4 linked regions of the Macaca fascicularis genome follow. The protein of the gene in region 4 purifies or fractionates together with the protein of the main gene of each other region. This does not show direct contact. Links are inferred from orthologs where the notes say so. Each region holds a gene or a part of one and is shown on either strand. Other genes may lie near its edges. The genes, in order: CBX3, YAF2, MGA and E2F6.

The links.
Region 1: the proteins of E2F6 (region 4) and CBX3 purify together in Homo sapiens (affinity purification with mass spectrometry; 4 studies listed by BioGRID and IntAct, with this or other methods). This does not show direct contact. The link is inferred for Macaca fascicularis from reciprocal best matches to the Homo sapiens genes E2F6 and CBX3.
Region 2: the proteins of E2F6 (region 4) and YAF2 purify together in Homo sapiens (affinity purification with mass spectrometry; 4 studies listed by BioGRID and IntAct, counting the BioPlex papers as one, with this or other methods). This does not show direct contact. The link is inferred for Macaca fascicularis from reciprocal best matches to the Homo sapiens genes E2F6 and YAF2.
Region 3: the proteins of E2F6 (region 4) and MGA purify together in Homo sapiens (affinity purification with mass spectrometry; 3 studies listed by BioGRID and IntAct, counting the BioPlex papers as one, with this or other methods). This does not show direct contact. The link is inferred for Macaca fascicularis from reciprocal best matches to the Homo sapiens genes E2F6 and MGA.

Annotation. Positions count from the first base shown.
Region 1 is NC_088377.1:104,102,922-104,106,922, forward strand, and holds the start of CBX3 (chromobox protein homolog 3), read right to left. Parts: upstream 2,822-4,001; 5' UTR 2,697-2,821; intron 2,509-2,696; exon of another isoform or gene 1,793-2,508; intron 1,278-1,792; 5' UTR 1,250-1,277; coding exon 1,226-1,249; intron 1-1,225. Other genes in the region: HNRNPA2B1 (heterogeneous nuclear ribonucleoproteins A2/B1), read left to right, coding at 3,688-3,693.
Region 2 is NC_088385.1:48,808,560-48,812,683, forward strand, and holds the start of YAF2 (YY1-associated factor 2), read right to left. Parts: upstream 2,861-4,124; 5' UTR 2,796-2,860; coding exon 2,770-2,795; intron 2,327-2,769; coding exon 2,201-2,326; intron 446-2,200; coding exon of another isoform or gene 244-445; exon of another isoform or gene 54-243; intron 1-53. UniProt on the Homo sapiens protein: Binds to MYC and inhibits MYC-mediated transactivation. Also binds to MYCN and enhances MYCN-dependent transcriptional activation. Increases calpain 2-mediated proteolysis of YY1 in vitro.
Region 3 is NC_088381.1:18,265,309-18,268,869, reverse strand, and holds part of MGA (MAX gene-associated protein), read right to left. Parts: intron 1,040-3,561; 5' UTR 973-1,039; coding exon 1-972. UniProt on the Homo sapiens protein: Functions as a dual-specificity transcription factor, regulating the expression of both MAX-network and T-box family target genes. Functions as a repressor or an activator.
Region 4 is NC_088387.1:110,642,921-110,647,157, reverse strand, and holds the start of E2F6 (transcription factor E2F6), read right to left. Parts: upstream 2,804-4,237; 5' UTR 2,525-2,803; coding exon 2,417-2,524; intron 1-2,416. UniProt on the Homo sapiens protein: Inhibitor of E2F-dependent transcription. Binds DNA cooperatively with DP proteins through the E2 recognition site, 5'-TTTC[CG]CGC-3'. Has a preference for the 5'-TTTCCCGC-3' E2F recognition site.

The sequences.
Region 1 (4,001 bases), on a different chromosome or scaffold from region 4:
GAAAATGAAAAGGATACATACTAAGGTTAAAAAAAAGAAAAAAAAAAGGGGCAGACAAAATACCATACAGTATTTACTACTATGGCATTCATAAGCTAGTTTCAAATGCTCACCATTTTCTTTTGTAGTATATGTTTGGCTTAACCCAGTACTTTTTTCCAAATGTGGATTTGAGTCAAAATAAATTTCCCATTATTTAAGTGAAATTAACAGTACATATATCTCACAACACTAATGAATTTTTAAAATGAAAAGTTAAAAAAAGTTTTAAAGTGGCCAACCTGTGATCCCTCACAAAATAAACTATTTAAATACCAATAAATAACAGACCCCAAAGAGTATCAATTGCATGCAAAAACAAATTCTGTTTTCCAGGGTATCTGACTTAACATAGAATCTAATGATGGCACAAATTAAAAATCACCAACGTGCCCTTTCTAGTGTGAAACCCAGAGAGAACATATACAGACCAAAAACAAATGCTTTACTTTACCTAGGAGACATTAACATTCACCTTTACGCGCTTAAGATTAATGCAATATGTTGAGAGTTAAATATTGTGAAAACTGTAACTTTGAATTTCATGATTTTTATGTGAATATTCCAAGGTTTTAAAAAACTTGTAACATGACATAGCTGAAGAAGATACAAAAAATCTAGCCTTTTCTCCCTTCTGGATCGTATTTGCTATTTCGATCATTTTTTTTAAAAAAAACAAAACACCGCAATGAATTGTATTCAAGATTCTTCTATATTTCAGAGTAAGTTAAAACAAGATAAAGTGACCAAAGCCATTTGAAAGATTCACTAACTTGCTCCAACCTAGGTGCACAAGGTACCTGGTTCTTCAAATTTGGCTTTAATGAAAATACTTCTCCAGAATTCTGGGGATTTAAGGAAAATTATGCCAACCAACAAGGGCTTTATTATTTTATGTAATATTTTGCAAAAACGTGGGTATTTCTATCTGAAGATAAAAATCCTCAGCAAAATCCACATTGCACTGTCCTTCAAAGATTAAACTAGTTAAGACGCTATTAAGTCAAGTCAGCAAGTATCTCCATGTAATGAATTCGTTTTGCTCCTAATTTTCCCCTATAATTATACTGGGAGAGCTGGGAAATATGTCGATGTAAATTTCTCAACCACAAAGATGCAAAGTTATACTTTGGGGGAAAAAACCTTGGGTTAAATCCTTACATACTTTAGCTTTTCATTAACTTACCAATGTAGTTTTATTGGAGGCCATTTTTTATTGCAGACTTGAAGAACTATTACTAGAAAAATGCATGACAGTTAAGAGAAGTTTGCACGACACAAAAAAGGTAACTAAATACAAGTTCTGTTTGGATTCCAACCCCCAAGTAGGGAGCGCACATTTCAAACGTTGATACAAATCCAGAGTAGATTTGCGCTCCTACCTACATTGCTTATGATGCACGTAAGTACGTGTTCTAAACATGTGAGTCTAGAAAGACTTTACTGGGGATCTTGGTACCTAAGGCAGCTTCACATGGCTTAACATAGGGGACAAATATCTTTTCTAATCTAAATCCCATTTGTAATCAAGTCCATGTTCCATTTTTAAAGGACAATCCTTTCGGTTTAAAACCATGCACGATTACCCAAACAACTCACAACTGTAAACCCCTGTGAATCTTCTCTGTTCTGCAATCCTAAGTTTGTTTCTGCTCAGAAACCCTCTCTTTTTCCAATCAGCAGTTAACTAACTAAAGGAAAAAACTTAACGATGCTTCAACCCCGTTTCGTGACACTTTGAAGACGCAATCACCTTTTGCACACACCCGCTCCCCCTCCGCCTCCGACCCTCTCCGCTGGAGCTCTGCGTCCCGAGGCCTAAGCGCAGCTGCCCGCCCCCACCCGGGAGCGCGGGCCTCGTGGTCAGCGCATCCGCAGGGAGAAACAAAGGCCGCGGCGCGGGGGCTCAAGGGCACTGCGCCACACGGCACGCGCCTACCCCCCGCGGCGGCCACGTTAACGGGACGGCCGCCGCAACCTCGGGACAGTCGGCCGCGCGCCGCCAGGCCTCGCGGACACGGGACCACGCGCCGCCCTCCCGGAGGCCCAAGTCTCGACCCAGCCCCGCGTGGCGGCTGGGGGAGGGGGCGCCTCCGCCGGAACGCTGGTGGGGGAGGGGAGGGAAAATGCGCTTTGTCTCGAAATAGGGCGACCGTCGCCACAGCTCCCTACCCCCTCGAGGACCGAACAGTCCCCCCACTAACTGCCGGCGCCGGCCCCGAGCCAGGTCAGCCGCGAGGCCACCGCCCGACCCTCTCCACTCCTTCCCGCAGCTCCCGGCGCGGTGTCCGGCAAGGAAGGGAGGGGAGCGGAGAAGCGGGCCCCCGGGGCGCGTGCAGCATCTGATGCACCACCACCGAGCGAGGGCTAGAGAGAAGGAAAACCACCGACTTCACCGCCTCTGAGCTGCTCCGGGTCGCGGGTCTGCAGCGTCTCCGGCCTTGCGCGCCTACAGCTCGAGCCACATCCGAGGGGTGAGGGAGCCGGGAGCTGTGCGCGGGGCCGCCGGGGGGGGGAGGGGTGGCACCGCCCACGCCGGGCGGCCACGAAGGGCGGGGCAGCGGGCGCGCGCCCGGCGGGGGGGAGGGGCCGCGCGCCGCACCCGCTGGGAATTGGGGCCCTAGGGGGAGGGCGGCTGCGAAGACCGCGGCACTTACCGTTCGCCCCGTGGCGCCTGGTGGTCCCCAAGGGGAGGGAGGGGGGAGGAGGGGCGAGGACGGTAACCGGAGTCTCCTCAGCGGTGGCTTTTCTGCTTTGCAGCCTCAGTGCTGGCGCCAAAACCGGACTCCGCCCACTTCCTCGCCCCTGCGGTGCGAGGGTGCGGAATCCTCCAAACGCTTGGGGAGAGAGAGTTGGGAGCTTAAAAACTAGTACCCCTTTGGGACCACTTTCAGCAGAGACCCCTCCTGTACCCCAGGGGTCAGCTGCATAGACGCGGGTCAGGGTTAGGTCAGTGTGGCGTGAACGATAATTTGACTAGAAGTTGATTCGGGTGTTTCCGGAAGGGGCCGAGTCAATCCGCCGAGTTGGGACACGAAAAACGAAAAGGGAAGGCTCATATTATACTACGATTTTTCTGGCGGGGGTTATCAAAGGCGTAGCTGCAGGGACCACCTCCCAGGTTGAGAGGGCTGGAACTCCGGGCTCCGGATTAAGCTCCTCCCGTCGGCGTTAATTTCAAACTGCGCGACCGTTTCTCACCTGCCTTGCGCCAAGGCCGGGGGCGGGACCCTATTCCGAGAGGTAGTAACTCGCGGGACTCGAGCCTTCCGCAATTCACTGAGCGCATTTACGGAAGTAACGTCGGGCACTGTCGCTGGCCACAGGAGGGGGAGGAGTACGCATTTGGCGTAAGGAGGGGCGTAGAGCCTTCCCGCCATTGGCGGCGGTTAGGGCGTTTACGCAACGGCCTGACGTAGAGGAAGACGCGTTAGTGGGGGGGAAGGTTCTAGAAAAGCGGCGGCAGCGGCTCTAGCGGCAGTAGCAGCAGCGCCGGGTCCCGTGCGGAGGTACTCCTAGCGGTGTTGTTTCTCGAGGAGAGGCAGTTCTCACTACAGCGCCAGGACGAGTCCGGTTCGTGTTCGTCCGCGGAGATCTCTCTCATCTCGCTCGGCTGCGGGAAATCGGGCTGAAGCGACTGAGTCCGCGATGGAGGTAACGGGTTTGAAATCAATGAGTTATTGGAAAGGGCATGGCGAGGCCGTTGGCCCCCTTGTGGAAGTCGGCCGGCCGCCTCCGTGGGAGAGCGGCAGGAAATCGGACCGCTTCAGTAGCAGTGGGGCTTGAGGTTTATGAACGGGGTCTTGACCGGAGGCCTGAGCGTACAAACAAGCTTCCCCACCCTCGGCCTCCCGGCGCCATTTCCCTTCACTGGGGGTGGGGGATGGGGAGCTTTCACATGGCGGACGCTGCCCCGCTGGAGTGAAAGTGGGGCGCGGAGGCGGGAATTCTTATTCCCTTTT
Region 2 (4,124 bases), on a different chromosome or scaffold from region 4:
GAGACAATTCAGAGAGAGGAAGGAAGAAGCTGAGAGGGTCGTAGTGTAGAACACTTACTTTCAGGAACACAGTGTCCCTTAGATTTCTGGTGAGTTGCCCAGAGCCTCTTCAGTTTCAATCCAAATGACAATGCTTCTCTGAGTCCTCCTCAAGTAATGTTTCCACCACTAAAAATTGGATCTACAAGAGCTCGGATGTACCGGTTAAAAACAAAAAAAAAGTCAGGGGCCCCCAGGTGGGCCTCAAGCCTCTTTTAAACTAGGCCCACTTCTCTGTCCTGGGCCAACTCCCCTGTGTACTATATTCCTTCTTCTTCCAGGTGCCAGGTATTCAGCCTGTTTCTTCTCTTCTGAGCTGCCACCACCTACTCTATTTCTCAGGGTTCCTCTAATCCCAAGACTGGCTGTGGAGTAGGACACCAGCTTCCCCCCTTCCTTGCTGTCCCTGCAAATAAACATATAGGCTCTTCTAGTTTCAGTATTTTTCTAATGGCTACAAGAAAATAGAGAGGGAACAACAAAAAGCAATAATATATAGTACCAGAGATCAAGATTATAATAATTGTCTCCACTTTAATGTTCCTGCCTCCAAAAAACGAATTTTCTAAATATTGTTTACTAAGCATTTTAAAAAGCACAAAGTACTAACACGGATATACAAATACACTCTAAACCAACTCCAACCTTACACAGCCATTAAGATACTCTGCTTTTCAAAATACTTAAATCACAAAACACGGGTCCAAAAATAGTAACCACAATCATTTTAGCAAATACTTTTTTTCTTTTTGGAATGTTCTGTTGTAATCCCTTAAATTTAGCATGTCTAAAAGTTGGCTTTCTGAGCATAAAAAATGTTCAAAATATTTTATCCACTGTAAATGAGAATAAATGGGTCCAAAATTAGTAACCACAATCATTTTAGTATATACTTTTTTCTTTTTGGAATGTTCTGCTGTAATCCCTTAAATTTAGAATATGTTTGAAAATTTTCTTTTTGAATATGAAAAATGTACAAAATATTTTATCCATTGTGGGAATATACAAAAAGCATATAATATTTACAAAAAATAAGCATGTCAAAGCCAGCGAGCTTCACTGAGAAAATTTTCAAATAAGTTACTGTCAACCATTCCTGTCTCTACATTTCAAACTTAATAAAATTCTGTAGTGTTTTAAAAAAAAATCAAGATCACATTTTTTAGAAATCTAACGTCTACTGAATATTTGCATATGTCAATATCATATATGCCTTTTTTAAAGCAACAGTAAGATAGATTAGTATGCTTATTGTTATAGTTTAGTCTCTAATGAACTTTGTAACATCAAAATATATATCTTCTCTACATATTAAGTAATAAATCACAGGATTATATTTAATTCAAAGGGTACCTTCCTATAAAAATCAAGGAGCTCGATAACTAAGTGCTGACAGATTAAGAATGCCAGACTGAATTTCCTGGATGATTTTCTTTATCCACTTAATTCAAAGTCGTTTTTTAAAAAACAGAGTTATTATACTGCAAGCTTACAATAAATAAAGTCTGAAAATGGGCAGAGATCTTTTCATCTCATTTGTCTAAGAGACTGCCATTTAATCAAACTAAAGATATGCAGGTACTTTCAGTAAAAATCTGTTCCTGTGACTGGGCTCATCTCCAACTACTTATTTATAAAATATTAGAGAACTGGAATAAAAACACTAAATAAAACCTTGATCTGACCCTTCCAGAAGTCCATATAGAAAAGAAGTTTAATATATTGTGTATTCTGCAATCAGATAGTTTTCTTTTTTTAGGAACGAAATTAAATTACATCCTTTGCTCCTAAAGAGGATTTTATGGGTTTTCCTTGATCCCTACACACTAACACAACAATGCAGCCAACATTTTTATACCCAGAGTGGGGAGAGGGACATTACACACGGCGATACGAATTAAATCGCAGTAGCTAATGCCTCCCATAAATAATTTATTCTCTCTTGGCAGCAAAAAACCTTACAGCCTCTTCAATTACCCCTCACCGCAAACCATCGCCTGGGTTGCGATCAATGTGACCCAGTTCCTATCGCCACAGCCACCTCCGTCTCGCCTCCTCCCGCCGGGTCCGCGAATGTCATGGGACGGGGCGGCAGCCGCAGGGGCGTCCCCTGGTCGTCACCCCGCCAGACGGAGGCGCGCGGGGCAGGCCTGGGACTCACCGGGTGGAGGTGCCCTTCCGCACATCGCACATCATGCACTTGAAGGCCTCGGCGCTGTTCCGGAAGGTGCAGACGCTACAGTCCCAGTAACCCTCATCCGAGGACGGCTTCGGCTGCCGCTTCGGCCTGCAGGACACAACCCGGACACGACGCGGCGCGGGGTCACCAGCAGGCCGCGCCCGGCGCCCGGGCCCTGCGGCCGCCCCCGCCCCGCCCCCCGCCCCAATTCCGCGACCCCCGCCCGGCGGGCCCCCGGCGGGCCCTCGGCGCGCCGCGCTCCGGCTCCAAGGGGGAAGGAAGTCAGGAAGAGGCAGGGCGCGAGCCCGGCCGCACTCGCCGCCGCCACAGCCGCTCTGACACCCGGGCTGCCGCTCCGGTAGCCGCCGCCATCGCGGCTCCATTGTGGGGCGGCCGGCGCCGGCCCCCTCACGCGGCAGCACTCGCACACCAGCGGCGCCGCCCCCGTGCTCGCCCCGGTGCCCGGGCGGCGAGCGAGGCAGCCACCCGAAGCCCTGCACCAGGGCCCTGCCGCCCGCACAGTCCGGGCCCCGGGGCCCGGGCGCTGTTACCTGGTGGGGCTCTTCTTGTCTCCCATGGCTTGGCTATCAACGCACGCTGAGAGTCGCCGCCGCGGCCGCACTGTTTGTCAATAAGGAGGATAATAAGCCGGGCGGAAGCGGGCGGGGGAGGAGGGAGGAAGGGGGCGGGGAAGGCCGCACCGCCGCGCTCGGGAGCCGCCGCCGGATCCCACGCAGCCTCCAGCTGTCGGGGAAACTCCTGCCTGGGCGCACGTGACCCGCGCCCGCCAACCAGCAGCCGCGCCGGAGACTTCAAACGCGGCCAGCGCGGCCCAGCACCCGCGGCGAGTTAGCCGGCGGGCGGTGCGGAGGTGGACGCCTCGGCCTCGGGAGCCGGCGCCGCCTCACCGCACTGTTGCCCTGTCGCCCTCTCGGTACCCACGGCTGCCAGGGGCTGCCGCGCGCTCCAGAGCCCCTCTGAGGAGGAAAATATCTGTCCCACCGACTGGCTTGGGATGCTCAGTCATCCCGTGCGAAGCCTGGTCCAAGGTCTGGCATTCGGAGGCCTGTCCAGGTCTGGACAGAAGTGCCAGCCCGGGGTCTCCAGGTAGAACGACTTTCCTGGCCTCCGCCGTCCTTAGCTACTCAGTCCCCGCCTGCAGGACACCACGGGGAAGGCGGGAACCAACACGCAGCGCCATTGCTAGATGCCTTAAAGCGCTACACAGATGCTCAAACAAGTAGGGCTTGTCACCCCTAACTTAGAGGAATCGAAATCAAGACTCAAGAGAGGTTAGGTGACTTCCTCTGGGCTACATAATTAGAAAATGACAAAGCCAGGAGTCTAACTCTGCTCTAATTCCAAAGGCACCCTTTTGGCCTCTCAGGCCTCTGCAGTAGCTGCTTTTGAAAGAAACCCAATACATACTCATAAGGCCTTTTTAAATATAAGGAGTTTACATGTCCCCTCAACGCTGTCTGCTAACAAAAGAACACCTTCCCAGGTCTCTTTACCTCAATATACTAAATAAAGGTCCTCATACTCCAGACTCCAGCAACAGCCATCAAACTGGTCTCCGAAGCTCCACTTCCACCTCCCCAATCGATTCAGTAGTCCACAACCAGATGAATAATAAAATGCTGTTAATATTATGCCACCACTCTGATCAAGAACCACTAACGACTCCCACACTCCTTAGCCTGGCATTTAAAGGCTTCACACATTTTCCCTACCTCTGCATCCCTCTCCCATGAGAAAAGCTGCCTCCTGACAATGCACATGGGTTACTTCTGCATAAACTAGATCCCTCTTTAACAGTGCTGTTTCTGTCCATCTTTCTAGGTTTACATCAATTCCGAATTCATGTAAAATGATAATTTCATAGCTAAACTACAAAGGAAATGGT
Region 3 (3,561 bases), on a different chromosome or scaffold from region 4:
AGTCTTCTCCAAACCCTTGCCTGATGTTTCATGACCCCTCGACAAAGGATCCAAATCACCTGGTTGTATCTCTGACCCCTGACCTTCTGTAAGACGGACCCGATGACCAGAAGAACTGGAAATATTATTCCCTTCTTGGTCAGAGCTGTTCTTTTGTTTTCCATCTCTTTGGGGCTTACTATTCAGCCCATCATCCCGAAAGCCTTTGGCAAATGGATTGTAATCTATTTTCAGCTGAGTAATCTGAATGTTCTGATAAGCTGTGACTGCAAAGAATTCAGTCTGTGGGAAGGTAAAAGTGTGGACACCAGGGCCATTTAATTGTATCACCTCCACAGCCTTTTCTGCAGGCACCAAATGAAGCCTTGGCAGGTAACGATGCATAGAGTGCAAGATGATATGCCCTTCTTGGTCCAGTGTATTGTTGGTAAGTTTGAGTTTATAGAAAGATACTGGTTGATGCATCCAATAATGACCTGTGGAAGGAGATTCTGGATGAATAAAAACCCTCCCCAAAACATGAGGTTCAGCCTTCCCACTGGGTTCCCACCAACGACCATTCCACTTATAACGATGGTTATCCACAGGAGATATATCCATGACAAGAATATACTTCAAATTTGAATCTAAACCTGTTATCCAATAACGACAATAAGGAAACATGCGTCTTCCTTGCTTGGTCAGAATCATTTCTGTGCTTCGATGATAGAACTCATTCCACATACTATTGTTATCGAGGGTAACAGTGATTCCACCCACAGTACAATCAGCTGGAAGGCAAATCTTCCCTTTAGATTTTACTGGTGATGACACACTACTAGCCAAAGCACAGGCATCCTGATTAGTAACCAAAATTCCTTGATCAGTTTTGCCATTTCCTGGCTGCTTTAAGATGACAAAGAAGGTAGGTGCTGCTCCTGCCACTGTTCCACCATCTTGATTAGCCAATATAATCTGCTGTTTCTCCTCCATGATTTCAGTAGGAAACTCAGTAGTAAGACAACTGTAATCACCACATAGTCACAATGGCCTTCCCATCCTAAGAAACAAGCAAAAAAACCAAAAACAAAAAACACCCTTTAATCAAGTGAGTATTTATTTCTTGAACAAAAATACAAGAATGATGTCATCCCCAAAATATTCCTAAATTCTTGTAAGACTTTGCTTCTAAGCTTTTCTTTCAATCACAGTAAGAATATTTATTCTGGAATATCTAATCATTTTTTAAAGTTCATTTTAATCTAATTAATTAAGTCGCTCATATCCTAATCCTCTAACAATTCACTATAAATACTATAATCTCACACAAAGAAACAAAAGTATATATTCATTATTTAAAAAAATAAAAGTATACAAAATTAAAAAGTTAAATTTGAAGGCTATGCATTTTTAAAGCATCCTAACACTTTATGAATTAATTTGCCAGAAGATTCCTTTATATAGCAAGTTCCCCTGTGATGAGTAAATTAAATAAGTAAATTTCCATTTTCATTCCAAAGAGCTAATTGTACAGAATTAGTTCTTCACATGGTTCAGAAGACATGGTTCCATAAGTAAGTAAAAAGCTATCTTAACTTCTTATTACACACATTTAAAGAAGCCATGACAAATCACTGGAACTCAATGGACCTTACACTGAAAAAAATTCCAGATGAACCTAATATTTAATTTTTTTATTCCTAAATCCTGAGAAAAGTTTTTTTATGAGACACAAAACCTAAAACCAGTAAAGCAGGAAAAAAAAAAACAAGTTGATAAATTTAATATTATATAAGGCCAGGTGCAGTGGCTCACACCTGCAATCCCAGCACTTTGAGAGGCCAAGGCCGGTGGATCATTTCAGGCCAGGAATTCGAGACCAGCCTGGCCAACACGGCAAAACCCCATCTCTATTAAAAACTAAAAAATTAGCCGGGTGTGGTGGTGCATGCCTGTAGTCCCAGCTACTCAGGAGGCTGAGGCACGAGAATCACTTGAACCCAGGAGGCAGAAGGTGCACTGAGCCAAGATCACGCCACTGCACTCCAGCGTGGATGACAGGGAAAGACTGTCTCAAAGAAATAAAAATAAAATAAAATGTAATATTCTGTAAATTTTTTAATCTGGCAAAATCATTTAAGCAAAATCAAAAAGCAAACAACTAACTAGGAAAAGGTATGTGCAACTTATAAAGAACTCATTTCCCTAATATAAAAAGGAGACTAGACGTGGTGACTGCCACCTATAATCCCAGCACTTTGGGAGGCCAAGGCAGGAGGATCGCTTGAAGTCAGGAGTCCCAGACCAGCCTGTCCAACATAGTGAAAGCCTGTCTCTATTAAAAAATAATAGTGGCCGGGAGCAGTGGCTCACGCCTGTAATCCAAGCACTCTGGGAGACCAAGGAGGTCAGATCACTTGAGGTCAGGAGTTCAAGACAAGCCTGGCCAACATGGTGAAACCCCATCTCTACTAAACATAAAAAAATTAGCTGGACATGGTGGTGTGCGCCTATAATCCCAGCTACTTAGGAGGCTAAGGCAAGAGAATCGCTTGAACCCAGGAGGTGGAGTCACAGTGAGCCAAGACGGCACCACTGCACTTCAGCCTGGGTGACAGAGCAAGACTCTGACTCAAAAAAATAAAATAAAAATACATTAACAGTAATAATAATTTTATAGGCTTCCTACAAATCAACAAGACCAAATACCTAACAGAAAAATAAGTAAAGGATAATAAACGCAAATGGCTATGAATATGTATATAGTGAAGAGGAAAGGAAATTAAAATCATCTTGAGATTGTTTTTTTTTGAGATGGAGTCTTGCTCTGTCGCCCAGGCTGGAGTGCAGTGGCCGGATCTCAGCTCACTGCAAGCTCCGCCTCCCGGGTTCACGCCATTCTCCTGCCTCAGCCTCCCGAGTAGCTGGGACTACAGGCGCCAGCCACCTCGCCTGGCTACTTTTTTTGTAATTTTTTTAGTAGAGACGGGGTTTCACCGTGTTAGCCAGGATGGTCTTGATTTCCCGACCTCGTGATCCGCCCGTCTCGGCCTCCCAAAGTGCTGGGATTACAGGCTTGAGCCACCGCGCCCGGCCTTGAGATTGTTTTTTTACTTATCAGACTGGCAAAAATCAAAGCCTGGTAGTGTTGGAAAGGGTATAGGTCAACCAGCATTCTCCCCTAACTAGTTACTGGGAGTATAAAATAACAGAATCTCTATGAGAAAGGGCAACTTGAAAATATCGAAAGTACAAATCCATATATCATCCTACAACAAAGAAGTTTTTCCAGGACTTTAAGTTTTTTTAATTCACTGATAAAACCCACTATATGACTTTTAAATACACACACCTACGATAAATGATATCTATACAAGATTATCCCCATTTATAACAGCAAAAGACTAGACAGGAAGAGAGAAGTCCTTAAAGTGGTAAAACAAATGATGGCACATCCACAGAGTAGAATGATAACAGTCATAAAAGAGAATGTATAAGCTTAATGAATGCATGCAAAAAATATCTACAAGATATATCAAGCGCAAAATGTTCAGAAGAGTTGTAAATTATGCCACACGTCTT
Region 4 (4,237 bases):
TATTGCATGCAAACTAAGTGGTTTTTCCACAGTGAGCTTAGAGTTTTTATCAAATTCTCAAATATTAAGACGACCAATACAGATGGTACCAATATACAGCTGATCCTCAAACAACACAGGTTTGAACTGTGTGGGTCCACTTAGATGCCAATTTTCTTTACCCCCTGCCACAACTTAGAGAGCAAAACCAACTCCTCCTCTTACTCCTCTTCATCAGCCTACTCAGTGTGAAGACAAGGATGAAGACCTTTACGATCATCTAATTCCCCTGAATGAGTAGGACTTTCTCTTATTTATGATTTTCTTAATAACGTTTTCTTTAGCTACTTTATTATAAGAATACACTAACTAATACATGTAAATACAAAATATGTGTTAATCAACTGTTTACAGTATCAGTAAGGCTTCCAGGAAACAGTAAAGTTTTGGGGGAATCAAAGTTATATTCAGATTTTGAATTTCATGTGATTTGGTGCCCCAAACCCTGAGTCGTTCAAGGATCAAATGTAGACGGTAACATAAGTCATGGGAGGAGAGAATGAACTCCCCTAAGAAGAATGTGTAGAGACAGCAGAAGAGAACCCTGAATATCATCAACATGTGGCCAGCCACGGTGGCTCACACCTGTAATCCCAGCACTTTGGGAAACTGAGGTGAGAGGACAGCTTGAGCCCAGGAGTTCAAGACCAGCCTGGGCCACGCAGGAAGACTTCCATATCTAAAAATAAAAAAATTAGCCAGGCCTTGTGGCATGTGCCTGTGGTCCCAGCTACTAGAGAGGTGGAGGCAGAAGAATCACTTGAGCCTGGGAGGTCAAGGCTGCAGTGAGCCAGGATGTGCCACTGCACTCCAGCCAGGGTGACAGAGTGAGATCCTGTCTCGGGGGAAAAAAAAATGAAGGACTGGGAAGAGGATGAGGACAAGGAGAGCCCAGAGAAGCAGATGGAACATCAATGTCAAGGAAACTCAAGGGAGAGTTTCCAACACAAGTAGTTTTGTGTCAAAACTACAACAGCTGCTGGAATTGACGAGATTGTCGGTGACCCTGGTTAGAATGGTCTCACAAGTGTGCTGAGGATAGGGGTCCCCAGCAGTGGGTTGGCTGATAATGAGACGATCAAGTGGAAAGAGTGAGTGTAAATAACTTTTTCAAGAAGTTTAGCTGTGAAGGGGAAGAGAGACAGTAGATGGCAAGGGATATGGAATTAAGGGAGGGATCTTTTAAGATGGGGATGGATTGAGAATGTGGTTTTAGTAGTCAAGAATTTATCATCTGGAGTTAGACATTTGGAGGTTCAACCCAAGTTTCTCCACTTACTATCTAGCCACAGGCAAGCCGGCATTACATGCATCTCCAGGTCTGTTTTGGCAACCGTAAAACAAGAATAATAGTCTTTTACTATTATAAAACACTGCTGTGAGAAATTAAATGAGACAATAATCACAAACTATTTGGTATGGGGACCAGGCATAATGACTTGGGAAAATGTTTAATTACTACTAGTTATAGGAAGAAAGCAGCAGAGAAATTGAAAATATGGGGAGAGGCCGGGCTCGGTGGCTCACGCCTTGTAATCCCATCACTTTGGGAGGCCGAGGCGGGTGGATCACCTGAGGTCGTCAGGAGTTCGAGACCAGCTTGGCCAACACGGTGAAATCCCGTCTCTACTATAAATACAAAATTAGCTGGGTGTGGTGGCGCATGACTGTGATCCCAGCTACATGGGAGGCTGAAGCAGAAGAATCGCTTGAACCTGGGAGGCGGCGGTTGCAGTGAGCTGAGATCGTGCCATTGCACTCCAGCCTGGGGAACAAGAGTAAAAACTCCATCTCAAAAAAAGAAAAAGAAAATACGGGAGGAATGGAAAAGAACGCATTTGTTAAGGACCTTGAGAACCGGGGAATACAGTATCTGGTCCAGAACAAGAGTAGAAGAAATCAGTCTTTGTGGGAAAGGGAGCCAAATCTCCTAACCATTTTCTCCGTCAAACAGGTGGGGAGATAATTTTATGAATGGGAGCTGTGGCGTGGTAAATATAAAGCGTGGACAAGGTTTTAAACGGCTGCAGTAGAGCAGAAGAGAGAGAAGGTAGAAGAACAAATGATAGGTTGCAGAGATACAGCTAGAGTCCACTGAAGGAGAAAAACATGGCCTTTCCAATGCAAAGTTGAGCAATTTTCTCCAACAGTGCCCTGAAGTTCCGATGTAAAAGTCCAGAAGACTGACACCACGTCTGTGAACAGATGCTGAAAGCAGAAGGCGGGAGAGCGCAGTTTCGCAGCACGTGATGGGCAGCGCCTGGCCCAGGGGGAGCAGACGACCGAGACGACGGCCAGCGGGGTTGGCGGCGGCGCGGGGAGGAGGGGGCCAGCTTTGGGAGACCCCCGCCCGTCCCCCTCCCGTCCCGGAGCTTACCAGCAGTCCCTCCACGTTGATGGGGTCTCGGCACCGACGGCGAACCGTCTCCTCCGCGGGGTCCAGGAGGAGACTGGGCAACTTCCTCGCCGGCCGCTGCTGACTCATGCTGCCCGGCCGGGCGTCCCGCTCCCCTCGCACCCCGCGAGCTCTCCCGCCCTCTCGCGCGCAGCTCGATCACCGCCCCCCACGCGCCGATTTCCAAGGGCCCAGAAACTGACGGATCCGCGGCGTCCTCCAAGGCCCCGCCCGGCTAGGCCGTCCCACCCGCCAGCAAACGCGGCACTGCCTCACGTGCCCGGGAACTCCCGACGAAGACGGGAAAGGAGGAGGTAGACCCGCGGCTCTCAAGTAGCCCGGCCCGCCATTTTTCCGCATGCGCAGTGTACCGCCCCCCTCTGCGCATGCCCGCCGCGGCCGGAGCGCTCCCACGCACCGATCCTCTCCCGGCGGCTGGCGCCCGGGAAACCCGGACCGCGGAATCCACGGAGAGGCTGGCAAAGGAAAAGGAAGAGGTGGAGCCGGATTCCAGAGGAAGGGAACGGGGGTGAGAGAAAACAGGCAGCTGGGAAAACGCAGCGCTCGCCTGGAATTCTCGACGGTGATAACTGAAAGCTCTCAGCCGCAAAGATGTTCATTTATTCCTTTTTTTAATTTTAATTTTTTTTTTTTTTGTCGCCCAGGCTGGAGTGCAGTGGCGTGGTCAGGGCTCACTGCAGCCTCGAATTCTTAGGCTCAAGCGATCCTCCCACCTCAGCCTCCCAAGTAGCTGGGACTACAGGCGCGCGCCACTGCGCCCGGCTAATTTTTAATTTTAATTTTAGTAGAGGCAGAGTCTCAGTATATTGCACCGACTGGTCTTGAACTCTGGGGCTCAAGCCATCCTCCCACCTTGGCCTCCCAAGTGCTGGGATTATAGGCATGAGCTACCACGCCCGGCCTTCATTTATTCCTGAGCTCTGTTAGCACATCTTACAGGCGGGTCAGTGTTGATGCTTAGTAAATGTGAGCAACCAAACCATTGTGGTATCGTTTTACTTCTGCCTGCCTGCCTTCTTTCCTTCCTTCCTGCCTTCCTTCCTTCCTGCCTTCCTTCCTTCCTTCCTTCCTCCCTCCTTCCTGTTTGATGAATGAGTTATCGTGGACCTATAGTGTCAGATATTGGGGTGAGCACAGGCGATACTTACTCATTTGGATATGCCACAGGTTCAACCTCCAATTTCAGTGGGGACAGATAAGTAAACAGAGCATGTTAATTAAGCTGGAGCCAGAGGTGTGTTTTCAAATCCTGGCTCCTACTTATAAACCAGAAGACCTTATTAAGCCAGTTACTTAATCTGCCTGTGCCTCAGTTTCCTTATTTGGAAAATGCGAATAATGACAATACTTACCTGATAAGGTTGTTGTGAGGATTAAATGGATTAATGGATACAGGTTGCTGTGATTAGAACAGAGGCCAGCACATGTTTGAAACAAAAAGGTAACACACCGTGGTGTGTACAGAGTTGGAGGGAAACAACCGGTTAGACTGGGGGTTTCTACACAGCCTGAGGTGGGCGAGGTGAGGCAGGGAGAAATCCCTGAAGAAGCTGGCTCCCCACTAGACTATGATGTCAGAGGTCTCTAATCTTTTTTTTTTCCCCATTACCCAGGCTGGAGGGCAGTGGCATGGTCATAATTCACTGTAGCATCAAACTCCTGGTCTCAAGTGGTCTCCCAGTTAAGACTCCCACGTAGCTAAGAGTACTGGTGCATGCCACTATGCCCGGCTAATTTTTTAAAATGTATTATTATTTTTTGAACTCCTTACCTTAAGCAATC